Macaca fascicularis: one gene and its partners. The protein of the gene in region 1 interacts with the protein of each later gene in a pairwise test. Links are inferred from orthologs where the notes say so. Each region holds a gene or a part of one and is shown on either strand. Other genes may lie near its edges.

Region 1 (6,891 bases):
CCACCACTGAGACAGCAAGACCAACCCTCCTTTTCTCCCTCAGCCTGCTCAATGTGAAGATGACAACCAGGATGAAGACCTTTATGATGATGCACTTCTTTAATGAATTGTAAATATAGTTTCTCTTACAATTTTCTTCCCCCATTTTTTTTTTTTGAGACACAGTCTCGCTCTGTTGCCCAGGCTGGAGTGCAGTGGTGCAATCTCAGCTCACTGCAACCTCTGCCTCCCAGGTTCAAGCGATTCTCCCGCCTCATTTCCCAAGTAGCTGGGGTTACAGGTGTGTGTGGGTTTCACCATGTTGGCCAGGCTGGTCTCAAACTCCTGAACTTAAGTGATCCACCTGCCTTGACCTCCCAAAGTGCTGGGATTGCAGGTGTGAACCACTGCACCCAGTCATATAATTTTAAGAACATTTTTTCTTTAGCTTACTTTAATATAGTATATAATACAAATAACATACAAAATATGTTAATCAACTTTCTGTTATTGGTAAGGCTTCCAGTCAGTAATAATAGTTACGTTTTTGAGGAATCAAAACTTATGTACAGATTGTGCAGTGGGCTGGCTCCCTGAAGCCCCAAGTTATTCAAGGGTCAACTGTACTCCCCTGCAATGCACATAAGATGGACATTTATGAAATGGAGCCAATGCCTGCCCTGCTTCCCTTGTGAGGCTAATGGGTATAGATACCCTGATGATTGCTTCTCTTTCTTGGCAGTAGAAAGAATATGGGCCTTGCAGAAAGAAAGAGGAGAGAATTCTGACCTAATCACTCACTACACTTACTACAGAGGATCAGAGGATAGAATTCTGGCCCAAGGATGTTTCACCTTGACTGAATTTCTTTTTTTTTTTCTTTTTTTTTGAGACGGAGTCTCGCTTTGCCCAGGCTGGAGTGCAGTGGCATGATCTTGGCTCACTGCAACTTCCGCCTCCCAGGTCCAAGAGATTCTCCTGCCTCAGCCTCCCGAGTAGCTGGGACTACAGGCGCCCACCACCACGCCTGGCTAATTTTTTTGTATTTTTAGTAGAGACGGGGTTTCACCGTGTTAGCCAGGATGGTCTCGATCTCCTGACCTCGTGATCTGCCCGCCTCAGCCTCCCAAAGTGCTGGGATTACAGGTGTGAGCCACCACACCAAATTTCTAAACTTTTGTGCCCATTTCCACAAGTGTGAAACTGAGTTTTCCTATATTGCAGGATTTTTTTTTTTTTTTTTTTTTTTTTTAAGACAGGGTCTTGCTCTGTCACCCGGGTTGGAGTGCAGTGGTATGATCATGGCATGCTGCAGCCTTGACCTCCTGGCCTCAAGCAGTCCTCCAGCTTCAGCCTCCTGAGTAGCAGGGACTGCAGGTGCACACCACCATGCCCGGCTAGTTTAAAAAATTTTTTTTTACATTACCCAGGCTGGTCTCCAACTCCTGGGTTCAAGCAATCTTCCTGCCTCAGCCTCTCAAAGTGCTAAGATTATACTGCTCAACCTTTTTCCAAGAGGACTAAATAAGAGAGTAAACGGAGAAACTTTTAGTCCAATCTTCCAAGCAGCAGCATGCAATGTTCATTTCTTTCCTTCTCCCTCCAAATTTGACACACTGATACATCTGCACTACTTGCACTAATTTGTGCACTGTCTTGTTTCACCCCATTGTTTTACTGCTTCAGTGGAAGCTCTCTTCACTTAGAAAACAGTTTCCTACCCCTGAGCACCAAGAAGAAAGAGTCCAAGGAACTAAGTCTGTGTAGGTCCAGTGGTTTGCAGATTCATGCTTTGGGAACTCTTTATTCAAATGAAATCTCTCCTGGAACCTTGATATAAACAAAACAGACAACGTCATTTTATTACCATTCCTTTATTTTAGAAGCTCACATCTATAATTTTATAACAATCGTGAAAATGTTACTCAGAACTAGATGTTTTGATGACACATAGCAGAAATCTGTAAAGATGGTCATTGAAACTTAACCAATCTCAGCATTCTATTCTGCCTTTTGTTTTGATTGCACAGAATCAATATAATTTTGATTCATACAGAAAATAACTTAGTATCTTAACCTCCACTCAGGATCTTCATCATAAATGTAGGTCAATACATACCTAAAAACTGTCAATGATCCAACATGATCACATGTGACATGCTACACTTGTGCCTCGTACCAAACAAGCTGATATTTCAATGAGATCTGGTCAGCATATACACCCGAGCCTTGTCTGTCCTCTCAGAGCACTGCACACAGGTAGTGAAAGAACTTTTGTACAATAAGAAATTCACAGGGATGAGGCCGGGCGCAGTGGCTCACACCTGTAATCCCAGCACTTTCAGAGGCTGACGCAGGTGGATCACTTGAGGTCAGGAGTTCGAAATTAGCCTGGCCAACATGGTGAAACCCTGTCTCTACTGAAAATGCAAAACTTAGCTGGGCGTGGTGGCACGAGTAGTCCCAGCTACTCGGGAGACTGAGGCAGGAGAATAGCTTAAACCCGGGAGGTGGAGGGTGCAGTGAGCCAAGATCGCGCCACTGCACTCCAGCCTGGGTGAGCACGAGACTCTGTCCCTACAACAACAACAAAGATATTCACAAGGATGAATTTAAATAGGTAAACAGCAGTGTAGAACTACATCCTTCCTAGTCAATTACACCTTTAGGAGACTTTAAATAGGCATAGAAACGACAAAGGGCTTATACTGAGAATTGCACAAAAATGAGTTACTTGGCAGCACAAGGTAGGGATTGTATGTGTCAAAGAGTATATAGACTGTTCTACCTTCATGCTCTACTCATTGCCATATCCCTTCGTGATTCCCTGAGACTCAGGTGAAATGCCCTTCTAATACTTCCTGGAGAAGGGCCTCCTCCTCCTCAGCTGCCTCGTAATCCTTTATTAGTACCAGTAACTGCAAGAAACCAGGGGCTGGGCCATCCTCTGGCAGATTAAGCTCTCTGCGAATTGTTTTGTGGACTGCGCCAGCAATGACTTGGTCTAGGCGGGCCTGATTCACAGCATCTCTCTCAATTGCTCCTCTCTGTACCAGCTTCTGTAACAAAGGCTCCAGCCTAAGTACATAAGCCGACAACTTTTCCTCATCCTTCTGATAAGTGGTTAGATATTTGACCTGCAACTCTCTAGGATTATCTGTAACCCCAAATACCTCCTCAAGAGCCTGCAGGCATTCATCGACAGTAATTAAAGGATTGTTTATCTTGAGGACACGAATAACATCAAGTGCTGGGCCTCGAAGGCTCTCTAGCAATCGCCTTCTCTTCTCTACATCTGGCACCTGCCACGCCTTTATCATCTGAGTAGTATGAAACATCCAGCGTCCAAATTCTTCTTCTCCTGGTTCTGGAGGCTCCCTGCCGGAGAACACTCTCAGCTTTTTATACTTCAAGCATTGCAGGGCAGGCTGAAGAGCCTCTAATGCCTGTGCCAACATAGGGGCCCACATTTCTGGGATCATGCCCTGCTCTAGGTCTAAGGAGCCATTTTCATGTGCAAGAGCTCTGGTCAACTCACCCACTGTCATGCCCTCTCCCGCTAAAAATTCATTTAATCTGCTTAAAAATGTATTATCAGAGTCAGGGGGCTTAAAGATCACTCTCCAGATACCCCCTTTTCCCGGTATCTCCTTAGGGACCAGTGCGTGACTAGTCTCCGCAGTAAGCCCTACTAAGGCTACTTTCCTGTTCTCATCCCTCCTGAACATCCTTCCAAGCAGTCTGTACTCCCCCAAGGGAGCTAAACCAGCCTGCAGAGCCTCCTCGATTTCTGCCACACTGCAGCTCTGGGAGATGCCGGCAATCAACAGCGCTTTCCGAGGGTTCATGTCCATCCCCCTGCACCAGTCTTCCAAAAGCCTCAAAGTCATGGTGCCCGAAATAATACACTTAAGTTCTAAATATTCCAGACCACAGGCGGCCACTGCAATTCAAAGTAATCCTCCGCGGTACCTCAGGGAAATCTCGTCAACGTGCCGAGGTCCAGCAGCCTGCAAAACACAGCAGACAGGTTAGCTAAGGGTGCCAACGTCCAAGGCACGCGTGCAGGCCCCAAGCCCCGCGCGCCCTGCCCCCCGCGGCGACTCCAGGGCCGCCGCACTGCGGCGCGCGCCCCTCACCCCTCCCAGCCCTGGTGCCTGGCGGATGTCGGGCCTGCAGGGCCTCTCCGGGCCAGCTTCCACTCACCGTAATCTAGTGCTCGGTGCCTGCGTCCGTGCGCCGGCGGCGGAGGTGCCTGGCCGGGCCCCGACGAGGTGCGGGAGGGCGGGCGGGCTCCCCTAGGCTCGGACGGACACTCAGGGGCCAAAGCGACTGATGCCGGTCCTCCAGGTGCTTGTGATGCTCTCCGCAGCAAGAAGTGATCGGGCGATGACAGTCGCGATCGGGCACCGGGAGGAAAGGCTGAGGAGCGCTGAGTCGCCAGACCCAGACAGCCGCCCACCTGAAGGGACGTGCCGCCACCCGCGCAGCTAGATACCCAGCTCCAGCGCGGATTCCAGCTGTTTGGGTCTAGCTGGGGGAAGCTGCGCGGCGGGCGGGGGCGATCTGACGTCATGAGGGGGGGCGGGCCTCTGGGGGGCGGGGCGCGCGCGCTTCCGGCCCGAGCCGGAAGCCCCGACTGCGGCGGCATCCGGGACGGCGGGCGGGCTGGCCACCCGGGACAGGAAGGTGAGATCCGGGACCTTAGCTTTGCAGGCAGGCTCTGCCGGCGGCCGCTGACTGGCGCTGGGCTCGCGACGCTGCAGGGCTGCGAGGCCCGGGCCTGGCGCAGTCAGCACAACCCTGGTCGCGGCGTGCCGGCGCTGCAGCGCGGCAGGGGGCGGGGCCGGCCGCCTGGAGGCCCTTGTGGCGGGGACGCCTCCCGGCCGGGTCAGGTCCCCATAGCGGGTCTCCGGCGGCGGCGACGGGGGCCGGGCCGCGCGTGACCCGCCGCAGTCACGCCGTTCTTAATCACTAGTAGCTGGTGCCCCAGGCTGGCGGCGCTCACCTTTCTCCTAGCCGGGTGACCCAGGGGATTTATTTTATGGTGGCTTTCTCTGAAATGCCAAAGCCACCCGATTATTCAGAGCTGAATGACTCTTTAACGCTTGCCGTGGGAACAGGAAGATTTTCGGGACCATTGTAAGTGCTTAGGAGTTACTGTCTTAACTTGGGGGCTTGACTTGTAGCACCCCGCGTTCACATCTGAAGCAGTACTGTAAAGCCGAAAGTGTTTCACCTATCAAAGTGAAAAGTGCTGTGGGAAACTAGTTTAATTCCAGTTTCTGGAGGGCGGGTATTATGGACTTGTTTAAGTAGGATGCAGTGATTTATTCTGAGATTCCCGTTAAAAAGCAGAACTCAGTATATACTGAAATCAATGGTTATTTTGTTTTTGTTTGTTTTTTTATTGTAACTATTACACAAAACCTGTAAGTTTTACATTTCTTAACAGGCGTTTAATTATTTTAAATCTTAAGTGTGTTAGTGGGATGCTTTCGAATTTAATTTTATTTTTTTGAGACGGAGTCTCGCTCTGTCGTCCAGGCTGGAGTGCAGTGGCGCGATCTCGGCTCACTGCAAGCTCTGCCTCCCGGGTTCACGCCATTCTCCTGCCTCAGCCTCCCGAGTAGCTGGGACTACAGGCGCCCGCCACCACGCCCAGCTAATTTTTTGTATTTTTAGTAGAGACGGGTTTCACCATGTTAGCCAGGATGGTCTCAATCTCCTGACCTCGTGATTCGCCCGCCTCGGCCTCCCAAAGTGCTGGGATTACAGGCGTGAGCCACCGCGCCCGACCTAGAATTCTTGGAGATAAAGCAAGTACATTTGGAGTAGTTGCGGTGACAGTACTACAAGACCCTAATTGTATTTTCTTTTTTAATTTGAAGGCACAGAGCATGGAGAATGATGAATTTCCGTCAGCGGATGGGATGGATTGGAGTGGGATTGTATCTGTTAGCAAGTGCAGCAGCATTTTACTATGTTTTTGAAATCAATGAGACTTACAATAGGCTGGCCTTGGAACACATTCAACAGCACCCTGAGGAGCCCCTTGAAGGAACCACATGGACACACTCCTTGAAAGCTCGATTACTCTCCTTGCCTTTTTGGTTGTGGACAATTATTTTTCTGGTACCTTACTTACAGATGTTTTTGTTCCTATACTCTTGTACAAGAGCTGATCCCAAAACAGTGGGCTACTGTATCATCCCTATATGCTTGGCAGTTATTTGCAATCGCCACCAGGCATTTGTCAAGGCTTCTAATCAGATCAGCAGACTACAACTGATTGACACATAAAATCAGTCACCGTTTTTTCCCTACGATTACAAAACTGCCAGTCCTATATGGAGTCTGATCACAAGACTGCAGTTTCTTCACAGATCTCAGGAAGTTGTGGTGGGGCAGAGGCTTTTTAAAAACATGTGATCAGGGGGCTATCTTTATCTGAATAATAATGAATTTTTAGGTAAAACCTGAGATAGAGTACTACAAAATCATGTTGATGACTTCAGATTTTGGAAGTTAAATCGTGTCTGTTATTTGCATTCTTTAGAAACTTGACTGAGTACCTGAATTCATATTTCTATTCTACTGTGCAACATAGTGATGATTCAGAAATTTTTCCTTTGGGGAAAAAAAATGAATATGAACATTTCCATTGTGTTAAGTGTAAAAAGGTCCAGACATGATCATAAAATTTAAATTTTATACAATTACTTGGCTTGCTTTAAATTCTTCACACTTAAAACACCGATTCATTCTATTGCAGCTAAGCCAGCTGTTTATACTTGCTGTCAGCTTATGAGGCATTGCTAAAAAAAGTATTAAGGTAATGGCTGTCTTGATAAGCAGAATTTGTTCTTCCTCTTGGTAATGGCTAGCTAAATTATTATTAGTGCTTTTAAT
Region 2 (6,078 bases), on another chromosome or scaffold:
GAGCCTGTGATAGGTTTCAATATGTCCAAAATCCCTTGAAACTGCATGCAACATTGTATGTGTTGATTTTTTTTTTTTTCCTGGGAAGAGTCCACAGCTTCCTTCAGATTCTCAAAAGAACCACTAACCCTGAAAGACCCATGATAACATAGTAGTAGGTTTCCAAGCTGAGTTCTGAAAGGACCACCTGTAGAAAGGTAGGAAGTGTGGGCTAGTAAGTGTTCCTTGCCCTGACTCTCCAATTCAACTGCAACAGCTCTGCCTTTAATTTTACTACATATATGGTTTCAATTAGCTTTTATGTGAAGAAAGCTAAAAGTATGAAAATCATTAAAATTATGCCTCCAATCCCCAAATAGTAACTTTTGATAAAAACAATCCCTTATCAATGTAGCTTAAGAAAAGGAAATAAAATACAAATTTTACTATGGTCAAAATAGAGCCTTTTTCCCCTTCCTAAAAGATAAGCTCATGTATTTTGGTATAGAACCTTAATCTTCCTTAGAACCTAAGCATTATACATAATAGTCATGTTGAACACATTATTTAACCTTAAATAAATTAGGAGGACTTGATTTTCTACTAAGACCACTCTGTAAATTTTTCTAATTATTAATGGCCATCTTAAGAGTTAATTTTTTCACCAATTAATCTGCCCTTAGGTAAAATATTGCCAGATAGCCAGATTTTCCTTTGCCAATAACAATCTGTATATGCAGCACTGTTCTGAAAGAGGAAACAGGTAACATTGATAATATAATCAAAATAGTTACTATACAGGAAAAGTATATGAACATGAAAATAATTCTTTGCTTAGGATGGTGAAAAAAATTTTAGCTTTCAGTACTGAAAATTTTTATTTATGGCAGCTTTGTTCCCTTTTAAAATTGGAAGCAGCATCAAAAATAACAATATGGAAAAAAAGCTAGTAGTGCTTTGGCTTCTTTTAAAGCCAGTAATTCTTGAGAAATAAATGCAAGAAGATTAAATATTCCATGGGGCCGGGAAGATAAATGCATTATCTTTCCTTCTGACAAACATATTAATATTTTTTAACCCTGTATTCCTTAGTTTCAGGATGTGAATTATACAGATTAAGATTAGCCTAGGAACACTCACCAACACGATGGCTTAATTTCTCTAGCTTATTTTGTACCAAAAACAAGGTTATGAGGGGAAAAAAGAGCTCTGTAAATACGGGGTATGTTTCATATTTGGTTAAAGCAAGATAAAACTAAAACTGTCTTTCAAAAAAATTTCAAAAACTCTTGTCTTTTAAAATTATTTAGCATATATACAAATAGATACCAGATTTCTCCTTTTAAACAAAGCACTACTTATTTTAAGTACTTTAAGTACCAAGAACTGACTGTAATATTCAGTTCATAATTTACTTTTCTTATAACAATTTTTTTCTAAATACTGATTTAAACGGCTGGAATAAATTAACATTTTAAAAGGATTTCCCATAATTTAGGAAAATACAATATTGTACACAGAGCACACATATATAGCTCTGTCATATTTGCATAATTTTACTCTCAGAACCTCAAAACACCTCGCATTTCAGGCCCTTTTGCAAATTCTCATTACATTTATTTACTAGTGTGTTAAACATATACTAGATCGCGATTTTTAATCTCTGAGCCTGTGTTTTGATCATCTTCATCCGACTGCTGCTCTGAGCCTTGTGAATTAATGTATTCATATTCAATAGGCTTTGGATAATTATATGGGTAGCCATTGTCATCAAAAAACCTTCGGAAGGTAAATTCATAGAATGCATGTTCAGGATGCTTCCCATTTTTATACCATCCATTGAGAGTGTCATTTACATTTTCTTCCTCGTTATCGTCACTCCATAACTTATCAGGATCAACAGGATCAAAATTTGATGTATCTGTTGGGTGTGTGATTTTAGGAATGTATGAAGCAGATTGCTGTCTCAGGTCACTGGAGAAATCAATTGTTTTAAAAAATGGATGAGCTTTTATTTCATCAGCACCATTCTTGCCTAAGCGATCTTCGGGTCCTCGGCAAAGTTTAATAATAAGATCAGAAGCTTCAGGACTTAGTTTAGCTTGTGGTGGAATGTGAAGAGATGTTTGCCAGTTGATAACCTTTAAAGATTTTTTAAAATTAGGGGGAAGAGATAAATTAGAAAAATAAAAATTTCCTTCAAGTTTTATACCAAAAGTCTCACTGGGCTATTTTTGTATTTTAAATAAATTACATGATATTTTGCTGGAAAATAATTTGTTCTCCTATCCCATCCTCTCCAGGCAACTTCTACTCACATTATAAGACTCAGTGTCAGTTTTAATCTCCCCTAGTAAACCTTTTTGCCTATGGTAGAAATGACTACTTCTACTCTGCCTCCCCTCTACCATATATTTATTTCTATCACATTTCTAATACCTTATGGTACCTATTTATGTTTATGTCCTACTGAAATATAAAATTCCATTAAGGCTAGGGATTATGTTTTAGTGGTCTTTGTATCTCCTAGTGCTCAGTAAATGCCTGGCACATACTTAATACATTATGATAAAACTTTTTCTGGTGCCAAGCGTGGTGGCTTGTCTGTAATCCCAGCACCCTGGGAGGCAGAGGTGGGAGGACTGCTTGAAGCTGGGAAGGTTCAAGACAAACCTGGGCAACAAAGCGAGACCCCCTCTTTACCAAAAAAAATTTAAAACTTAGCCAGGTATGGTGGCATGCATCTGTAGTCCTAGCTACTCAGGAGGTTGAAGCAGAAGGATTCCTGGAGCCCAGGAGTTTGAGGCTGCAATGAGCCATGACTGCACCACTGCACTCCAGCCTGTGTGACACAGTGAGACACTGTCTCCAAAAAAAAAAAAAAAAAAAGCTCTGGTTATGAATAAAATAAAATGAGGAAGAAAGGAATGCCAAGTGAAGTCAGACTACCTAGTCTCTCCCGCTGAACTCTTGGAGGCAGGGGAATTGGTATACAACTCCAAGTACGATATTAAATGGATTTGGGGCAAACTCTATTAAGTGGTAGAATTGTCATTTAACCAAGTTAAGATACCTTCAACTTGGGCAGGCACTGTGGCTCACACCTGTAATCCCAGCACTTTGGGAGGCCAAGGTGGGTGAATTGCTTGAGCCCAGAAGTTCAAGACCAGCCTGGGCAACACGGCGAAAGCCTATCTCTACAAAAAATACAAAAGTTAGCCAGGTTGGTGGTGTACATCTGTGGTCCCAGCTACTTGAGAGGCTGAGGTGGGAGGATCAGCTGAGCCCAGGGAGGCTGAGGCCGCAGTGAGCCGTGATTGTGCCACTGCACTCCAGCCTGGGTGACAGAGCAAGACCCTGTCTCAAAAGAGGAAAAAAAAAATCTTCAACTTGTTCCATGGTAGGTAGTCAATAAATATTTGTTAAAAAGTTTTAATAATAATGAATAAATGAACACTATAATCTTACTTATTCATAGAGGAGCTAGTCAGCTACTACAGAGGGAAGAAAATATACTCCCTCTTCTATTATTTGTTCCTTTTAAAGTCTTACCCCAGATTAGAAAATTGAGATACTTCAACTAATAATATAATATTTTTAAAACCTTTTTGGAAAAAAAAAAGATACAGTTAATAATAGTTATTTATGCTTCCAGTTCCATCACTTATTTCAAACAGGATAAATAAAAAAAAAAATACAATGAGATGAACAATTCCTTTTTTTTTTAAACAGAGGCTCGCTCTGTTGCCCAGGATGGAGTACAGTGGCGTGATCTCGGCTCACTGCAACCTCTGCCTCCTGGGTTCAAGTGGTTCTCCTGCCTCAGTCTCCTGAGTAGCTGGGATTACAGGTGCCTGCCACCTCACACGGCTAATTTTTTTTTTTTTTTTTTGAGACGGAGTCTCGCTCTGTTGCCCAGGCTAGAGTGCAGTGGTGCGATCTCAGCTCACTGCAAGCTCTGCCTCCCGGGTTCACGCCATTCTCCTGCCTCAGCCTCCTGAGTAGCTGGGACTACAGGCGCCCGCCACCACGCCCGGCTAATTTTTTGTATTTTTTTTAGTAGAGACGGGTCTCACCGTGTTAGCCAGGATGGTCTCGATCTCCCGACCTCGTGATCCGCCCGCCTCGGCCTCCCAAAGTGCTGGGATTACAGGCATGAGCCACCGCGCCCGGCATTTTTTTGTATTTTTAGTAGAGACAGGGTTTCACCATGCTGGCCAGGCTGGTTTCGAACTCCTGACCGCAAGTGATCCATCCACCTTGGCCTCCCAAAGTGCTAGAATTACAGGCGTGAGCCACTGTGCCTGGCCAAGTTTAACATTTTTTATTTTAATGTGTATTTAGGATTTTTTAGTTTAAGGCAAAAAAAAAAAAAAAAAGACTAAGCACAGCAAAAGATTCAGATAATTCAAAGATGGATGAATAAAATTATATAAACTGAAGCACAGAGAGAAAACATGTAGAATAAAAGAAAGAATAAAGCGTAAGAGAAATGGAGGACAATATCAAAGGAATAGCATATGTATAATCATTAGAGTCTCAAAAGGTGAGAAGGAAGCAAAATAAATCTTTGAAGAGATGACAGAGAATTTCCCCAAATCGATGAAAGTCATTAATGTACATTTCAAGAAACTGAGTGAATCTCAACCAAGGAAAATACAAAGAAAACTACACATAGGCACACCATGGTCAAATTGAAGAAAACTAAAGTTAAAGAGAAAAAAATCCTAAAAGCAACCAGAGAGGTCCCAGTTTTGAGGAGGTACTACGTATACTCTCCCGTCTCTCTCCCACAGAAGGCAGCTACAAAACCTGATCAGGATACATGCAGCAGCTACTTCAAGACCCTGAAAAGTAAATAATAACAGGTAGATTTGGGGAGAAGATGTAAATTTGAAGTACCATTAAACCTGGTGACCATTTAAAAAAAATAAGAGACAGGATTCTCACTATGTTGTCCACGCTGGTCTTGAACTCCTAGCCTCAAGCAATCCTCCCACCTCAGCCTCCCGAGTAACTGGGACTACAGGCCTGTGCCAGCACACCCAGCTCCATTTTTTTCACTCTAGTAGTCTGCAGGCTGGACTCAAGGTAGCCCCAAACTTGGAAGGAGCTGAGCACAGACAGAGAGCTAGAGCAGAAGTCCCTCTAGTTCAGGCTCAGGGAGTAGAAAAGGAGTTTCCTGGTAGCAATGGAGGTGACAATAAGAGCCAATATGCCCCTAAAACTGACAGATGAACCCTCCTCTCCAATTGGAAATAAAATAACAAAGCATGGGCTGGGCTCGGTGGTTCACGCCTGTAATCCCAACATTTTGGGAGGCCGAGGTGGGTAGATCACTTGAGATCAGGAGTGCAAGATCAGCTTGGCCAAAACGGTGAAGCCCTGTCTCTACTAAAATACAAAAATTAGTGGGCCGGGCGTGGTGGCTCAAGCCTGCAATCCCAGCACTTTGGGAGGCCGAGACAGGCGGATCACGAGGTCAGGAGATTGAAATCATCCTGGCTAACATGGTGAAATCCCGTCTCTATTAAAAATACAAAAAACTGGCCGGGCGCGGTGGCTCAAGCCTGTAATCCCAGCACTTTGGGAGGCCGAGACGGGCGGATCACGAGGTCAGGAGATCGAGACCATCCTGGCTGACACTGTGAAACCCCGTCTCTACTAAAAACTACAAAAAACTAGCCGGGCGAGGTGGCAGGCGCCTGTAGTCCCAGCTACTCGGGAGGCTGAGGCAGGAGAATGGCGTGAACCTGGGAGGCGGAGCTTGCAGTGAGCTGAGATCCGGCCACTGCACTCCAGCCTGGGTGGCAGAGCGAGACTCCGTCTCAAAAAAAAAAAAAAAAAAAAAAAAAAAAACTAGCCGGGGGAGGTGGTGGGTGCCTGTAGTCCCAGCTACTCAGGAGGCTGCGGCAGGAGAATGGCGTAAACCCAGGAGGCGGAGCTTGCAGTGAGCTGAGATCGCGCCACTGCACTCCAGGCTGGGTGACAGAGCGAGACTCTGTCTCAAAAAAAAAAAAACATTAGTGGGGTGTGGTGGTGCATACCTGTAATCCCAGCTACTCAGGAGGCTGAGTTAGGAGAATCACTTGAACCCAG
Region 3 (6,148 bases), on another chromosome or scaffold:
GCTCTGTTGCCCAGGCTGGAGTGCAGTGGCATGGTCTCGGCTCACTGCAACCTCCGCCTCTCAGGTTTAAGCTATTCTCCTGCCTCAGCCTCCGGAGCAGCTGGAATTACAGGGTGTGTACCACCATGCCCAACTTTTTTTTTTTTTTTTTTTTTGATAGGGGTTTCACCATGTTGGCCAGGCTAGTCTCGAACTTCTGACCTGGTGATCTGCCCGCCTCAGCCTCCCAAAGTGCTGGGGTTACAGGCATGAGCCCCCACGCCCAACCAACAAAAACACTTTCAATGGATTAGTGGATGAGGCTGTCAGATGATAGCAGGTTGAGGGGCTGATTGGCAACAGTGCCTGTAGTCAGTTAAAGAAGCTTTGCTATTAAAGGGGGAGGTGAGAATGTGGGAGATCTTTGAGGGAGGTTTTTTTTTTTTTGAGACGGAGTCTCACGCTGTTGCCCAGGCTGGAGTGCAGTGGCGCGATCTCGGCTCACTGCAAGCTCCGCCTCCCGGGTTCCCACCATTCTCCTGCCTCAGCCTCCTGAGTAGCTGGGACTACAGGCGCCCGCCACCGCGCCCAGCTAATTTTTTGTATTTTTAGTAGAGACGGGGTTTCACTGTGGTCTCGATCTCCTGACCTTGTGATCCGCCCGCCTCGGCCTCCCAAAGTGCTGGGATTACAGGCTTGAGCCACCGCGCCCGGCCTGAGGGAGGTTATGTAATGCTTATGGAAAGGAGCTTGGAAAGAAGAGGTTGTAGATACAGAAACCAGGGCAGTTAGTTGATGGAATTCAGTTATTAGGGATATTGGGATTCCAGATGGAAGGTAATCCAGATGGAATACCTTTAGTCATGAGAGAGTTGTGACAGAAGGAAATGAGGTAAACAAAGGTGTGGGTGCAGCTGACTTGTCATTTTGGGGCCAAGAAATGAAATGCTTTCCAATTTAATGAATTTTTCTCCTCATTGAAGGCAAAAGTAGTTATCTACTGAAAGTGAAGAGGAGTGGTAAAGTAGTATTTTTGCTAAGTGAAAAGGGTTTGAAATCATTACTGTGAAGAATAGGAGAGAGAATGACCTTGAAGAATAAAGAGAGATTGCTGACTAAAAACAGATGTTTAAGGTGGAGACCACATACCAGTGGTGCCTTCTGCATAGCTGTGTAATTTGGTATATTCACTCAGGCACCTCACTTTCAGCCGAGATTGGAAGCCTGAGAGTTGGTATAGAGAAGGTGACAGTTGGTTTATTCAAGGTTGCTGTGTGCTCACTAGATGTGACAGAAGAAATATGGGACAAGTGTGTTGAGGAAGTTGGCAAGAAAACAGACAAAGAGATTAGCCATGAAGTCTAGACCAGGAGTTGGCAGATTATAGCCTACAGGCCAAATCTGGCCCACCACCCGTGTTGGTTGTTTTTGGTGGTTTTGGTTTTTTTTTTATCTCTTATATTTTAGATGTTTAAATACCTACATAATATCCATACTATGCCTCTTAGCCCACATAACCTATTAATAAAAATATTTACTATTTCACACTTCAGGAAAAGGTTTGCTGACCCCTTATCTAGACTAAAATAGGATTGGACTAACAGGTAGAGAATAGAAAGGGCCTTAAAGTCTCAGTAAGATCCAAATATTAGGTATATTGGAAGCACCTGAGTGAGAGACCTGGGAAGGATAGAGGTGGTGAGATAGGATTGTGAGTTAAAGACTTCAGATCTGGGGAAGCTGTAACCCCAGGTCTAGCTGTGGCCACAGTAGTGGGTAGCTGGAGCAGAGGTGGGCCTGTCCGTGGAGTTGATGGCAAGGAACTAACAGCCTGAGTGGAGACAGTCAAGTTGCCCAGGGGCTGGAGGAAGGGAAGGCTGATGGCCAGCCATTCACATTTCCAGTTTGGGATAGGAGAGTTAATATAAATAACAATCAAATATATTCAGTCCTTAAAAGTGTGGGAAACCTGACGGGAAGGCTGATCATTAATTTTTTTTTTTTTTAAGACCTGGAGCCGCGGTGTGGAAGGGGTTGCTAGTGAATAAGGAGGCTTGTGTGTGTTAGGTGGCCTTAGTAAATGGTACCAAACCATGTAAAGCAGAGCCACCAGAACTTGGGACATTGAACCAAAACCAATTTCTGATGCTTCCAGCTGCCTTACTGGTGATTCATTTAGGAGAACGTGGCTTTCCTTTGTTACTGTAGTTTTTGAAAGCAGTACTAGCGTGAGTTTGTGGTTACAGACTTCACCTTTCCTTCAGTGCTCCATGCACATAATCAGAATGACTTTCCTTCGTCACCCGCAAGTTATTCTTACAGCTGGATGGCAGGGTCGTTGAAGAACTTCCTCATAAATCACCTTCAAGTCCTTTCTAATCTAGATTCTGTGATAATACAAGTATGATGCAGTTTTCACTAAAAGCTAAAAAAAAACAAAGCCCATCTAATCAGAGATGATTTTCACCTCTAATTTCTTAATACCTCTGTTGCAGGCACTTACAGGGCTGCAAAAATGAGTGGTACCCGTTGATATTGTGCTGTTATCCATATCTTCTTTAGCCAGTATTTCTTCATATGTGGGAAAGTAGTAGCCTCAATTTTACTTTTTACTTTTTTTTTTTTTTTAAATTTAGAGTCTTGCTATGTTGCTCAGGCTGATCTCGAACTCCTGGGTTCAAGTGATCCTCCTTCTCAGCTTCCTGAGTAGCTGGGACTATACGCTTGTGCCACCATGCCCAGTTTACTTTTTTATATTTCTGCCTTATTTTATCCTCATGTCAGGACCACAGATAGAGCATTGTTATCCACCAACATGAATCTGTCATGGCATAAAACAGTCAAGAAGTCTAAGTGAAACCTTGACTGGACCGTCTTTGGGCTTGTGCGGTAATGCCTCATGTGCAATGAATTCTCAACAAATGTTTTTTAAATTGAATTGGAATCTTCCATTTCTATAGTAGCACATTTTGTACCTTTAGGCAAAACTTGATTTTAATGTGTTGTTTTCATATGTGTTTGCTTGTTTCTTGAGTAGCTGATGGATTTACAACTGAGTGACAGTAACTTTCGTCGACACATCCTGTTGCAGTATCTCATTTTATTCCAATATCTCAAGGGGCAGGTCAAATTCAAAAGGTAAGATAATATGGGTAGTAAATAATTTGTAAACAGCCAAGAAAAAAAAGGACTTGCTTATGATTTTTCTTTTGTATTGTGTCCATTTCATGTTAAGGTTCTATCCCTAAAACACATGTATTGCAGCTGATATATTGAAGGCTTTTAGATATTAGGATTAAGGAAAAGATGTTAAATATATCTGTCAGTGTGAGTTTTTCCTGCCCCAATTCCAGGGCTTAGCAGGAGTTGTCGTCTTTATTGGCAGGTGGAGGTCTCTGCTCCAAACTTCCATCATTCCCTTCTCACCTCCCTCAGACCTCCTCCAAAGCGGATTTGTAGACTAAGCCAGTAATACATCTCTCACAAGGTGTGGAGCTGTGTAGGACATTCAAGCTAAAAGATGCAAATAAAATATTTAAGCAAAAAGGAGTTCATTTCTTTGGGGTTTCACAAAACCTTATTAGGCTCTCTACTGTCTATCTAAATCCCTCCATCCATTTCCTCCTGTCCTGTCCATAACTGAAGGTGGAGCCCACTGCTACTTAACGATATTTGTGTTAAGGACACTGAGCAATGCAGTATTAGTTGTATAATGACTTTACTACCTGCTGGGTTTGAATCCCAGGCTCATCATTTGCTGGCTGCAGTGCAGCTCTTTCAGACTTGTCATTTTAAGATAGTAGCACATGGTAAACACTAAAAAAATGTAATTTCTTATCCTTCTATCTATTTTTGAGGTTTGGTATAGCATTGTAGGAAGATCAGGGACTTTGGAGTGAGACGTAGGTTTGAATTAAAGCTTTATGGCCTTGGGCAAATCATTGAGCCACTGTAGTCTGTGTTTAATATGTACATGTACTTGTTCCAAGAATTCAGTAAATAATGTATGTAAAGTGTTCAGATCCTAGCCATCAATATTTATTGGATGTCTTTAAATCACCTAGTGCATTGTGAGAGTTCAGTTAGTGGTGGCTATTAACAATTTGGGTTTGCCTGTTGCCTTTTCTAGGGTTTGGGTGTTTTTATTCGTTGTGTTTTGAATGAACCTTAAAGGAATGTAGCATGCCATACTGAATGTGCATCATGTATACAAGTATCTTAATATCAAATCAGAGGTTTTCATTTCACACTCAGCTTATTTTAGGAAACATTTATTGCTCTGTTCATAGTGAATCCGATTGATTAATTGAATGTTTTATTACCTGCATATGTTTTTATGTCTTTAGTACCAACCCTCTTGAGGAAGAAGTGCAAGAATTTTCTCTTATAATCCTTTCATTTGTGACTATTCTTATCTTGGTAATTTTTGACACTATCCACAGTATAGTTACATGTTACATGCCTTGTGTTTTTTAAAGCTTAAAATTGGATATGCATTGCTGTAACTCAAGCATGCTTTCATTGCTTTGTTCCCTAGTTCAAACTATGTTTTAACTGATGAACAATCACTTTGGATTGAAGATACTACAAAATCAGTTTATCAAGTAAGTTCAACACGCAACAAACCCATGATTGAAAAAATGGAAATTTAGGATTTTCTTTGTTTCAGCCCCAAATAGGAAAATAAGGATAAAGTTAAGCTCAGGTACAAGACCACAAACACTCCTTGGTTCTCTGCCTACAAACCACTCCTATGATGCAGAAAGTTGTTGAAAGCTTAGTATATTCTTTCTAATCACAGCTACTATCTGAAAACCCCCCCGATGGAGAAAGATTTTCAAAGATGGTAGAGGTATGTGTTTTTTATGTTTACATCCTCTTCTTAGCACGAAACAGAATTTCAGAGGATTCCATTAACCAAAATGTAATCTCTGTTTTTCCCAGCATATATTAAACACTGAAGAAAACTGGAACTCATGGAAAAATGAAGGTTGCCCAAGTTTTGTGAAAGAAAGGTAAATACATACTCATCACAAGAACGATGAGAAAAGCTTTTGAAAATATGCTCTGATACGACTATAGCATGTAAAGATACATGTATATATTTCATATAAAAAATGTAAGTCGAACTCTGTAAGAGTACAACCACTTTGATTTACCTCTGTATTTTTTTTACCTCATAAATTTCTTGTCATTAAATTCCTGGAACAAACATCTATATTATTGAGAAGAATACTGTATATCTACTCCATGTGATTTGCCCTGCAATGTGGCATTTTTGTCTTATATTTGATAATTGTTCTATCATAATATGAAGTTTTCATCTTTTTTTTTTTTTTTTTTTGAGATGAAGTCTCTATCACTCAGGCTGGAATGCAGTGGCGCGATCTCAGCTCCAGTGGCGCGATCTCAGCTCACTGTAGCCTCCGCCTCTTGGGTTCAAGCGATTCTCATGTGTCAGCCTCCCGAGTTGCTGGGATTGCAGGCACCTACCACCATGTCTGGCTAATTTTTGTATTTTTGTAGAGACAGGGTTTCACCATGTTGGCCAGGCTGGTCTCGAACTTCTGATGTCAGGTGATCCACCTACCTCAGCCCATCAAAGTGCTGGGATTACAGGCATGAACCACCATGCCCAGCCAGTTTTCATCTTTCTTAAGAGGAAAACAATAACTAAATTTTATTTTACATTAAACATTCTTCTATTTCTGCTATCTATGTGTAATTCAAAAAATAGTGTATGTTTTTTTTCACCACAGAACATCAGATACCAAACCTACGAGAATAATTCGGAAGAGAACAGCACCCGAGGACTTCCTAGGGAAAGGACCCAGCAAAAAAATTCTGATGGGAAAGTAGGTGAACTTGTCTTCATGTGGAATGTTCTTATTTTTATATTTTGAAGATGTTACTATAAGAACTCTCCATCCAAAATATAATATGAATTTGTGTTTGGTACACACATAGATAGCCAGAGCAAACCGCACTCTCTATACTGCCCATTATGTAGGTTCATGCAGCAGATAAAACCTTCATTTTGTCTCCAGCTTCCAAAATCTGTGTCTCTTGGCTGTGCCGTTTTTTCCGTTTCAGACAGTAGGATTGTTTAGATTGATGAAGCTCACTTCTAGTTGTTGCAAGGTACCATAATCCTTGAGTTCTCTTACCT

Evidence for each region.
Region 2: the proteins of MOAP1 (region 1) and LATS1 interact in a two-hybrid assay, tested with the Homo sapiens proteins (2 studies listed by BioGRID and IntAct). The two-hybrid records come from large-scale screens. The link is inferred for Macaca fascicularis from reciprocal best matches to the Homo sapiens genes MOAP1 and LATS1.
Region 3: the proteins of MOAP1 (region 1) and THOC1 interact in binary tests that used the Homo sapiens proteins (3 or more experiments, as listed by UniProt). The two-hybrid records come from large-scale screens. The link is inferred for Macaca fascicularis from reciprocal best matches to the Homo sapiens genes MOAP1 and THOC1.

Annotation. Positions count from the first base shown.
Region 1 is NC_088381.1:161,179,744-161,186,634, forward strand, and holds MOAP1 (modulator of apoptosis 1), read right to left. Parts: upstream 4,186-6,891; intron 3,990-4,185; coding exon of another isoform or gene 3,967-3,989; 5' UTR 3,870-3,966; coding exon 2,814-3,869; 3' UTR 1,838-2,813; downstream 1-1,837. Other genes in the region: LYSET (lysosomal enzyme trafficking factor), read left to right, coding at 5,024-5,121, 5,871-6,282.
Region 2 is NC_088378.1:57,649,429-57,655,506, forward strand, and holds part of LATS1 (serine/threonine-protein kinase LATS1), read right to left. Parts: intron 2,121-6,078; coding exon 1,611-2,120; 3' UTR 1-1,610. UniProt on the Homo sapiens protein: Negative regulator of YAP1 in the Hippo signaling pathway that plays a pivotal role in organ size control and tumor suppression by restricting proliferation and promoting apoptosis.
Region 3 is NC_088392.1:68,908,886-68,915,033, reverse strand, and holds part of THOC1 (THO complex subunit 1), read left to right. Parts: intron 1-131; exon of another isoform or gene 132-412; intron 413-703; exon of another isoform or gene 704-2,419; intron 2,420-3,016; coding exon 3,017-3,117; intron 3,118-4,516; coding exon 4,517-4,583; intron 4,584-4,780; coding exon 4,781-4,831; intron 4,832-4,923; coding exon 4,924-4,994; intron 4,995-5,738; coding exon 5,739-5,834; intron 5,835-6,148. UniProt on the Homo sapiens protein: Component of the THO subcomplex of the TREX complex which is thought to couple mRNA transcription, processing and nuclear export, and which specifically associates with spliced mRNA and not with unspliced pre-mRNA.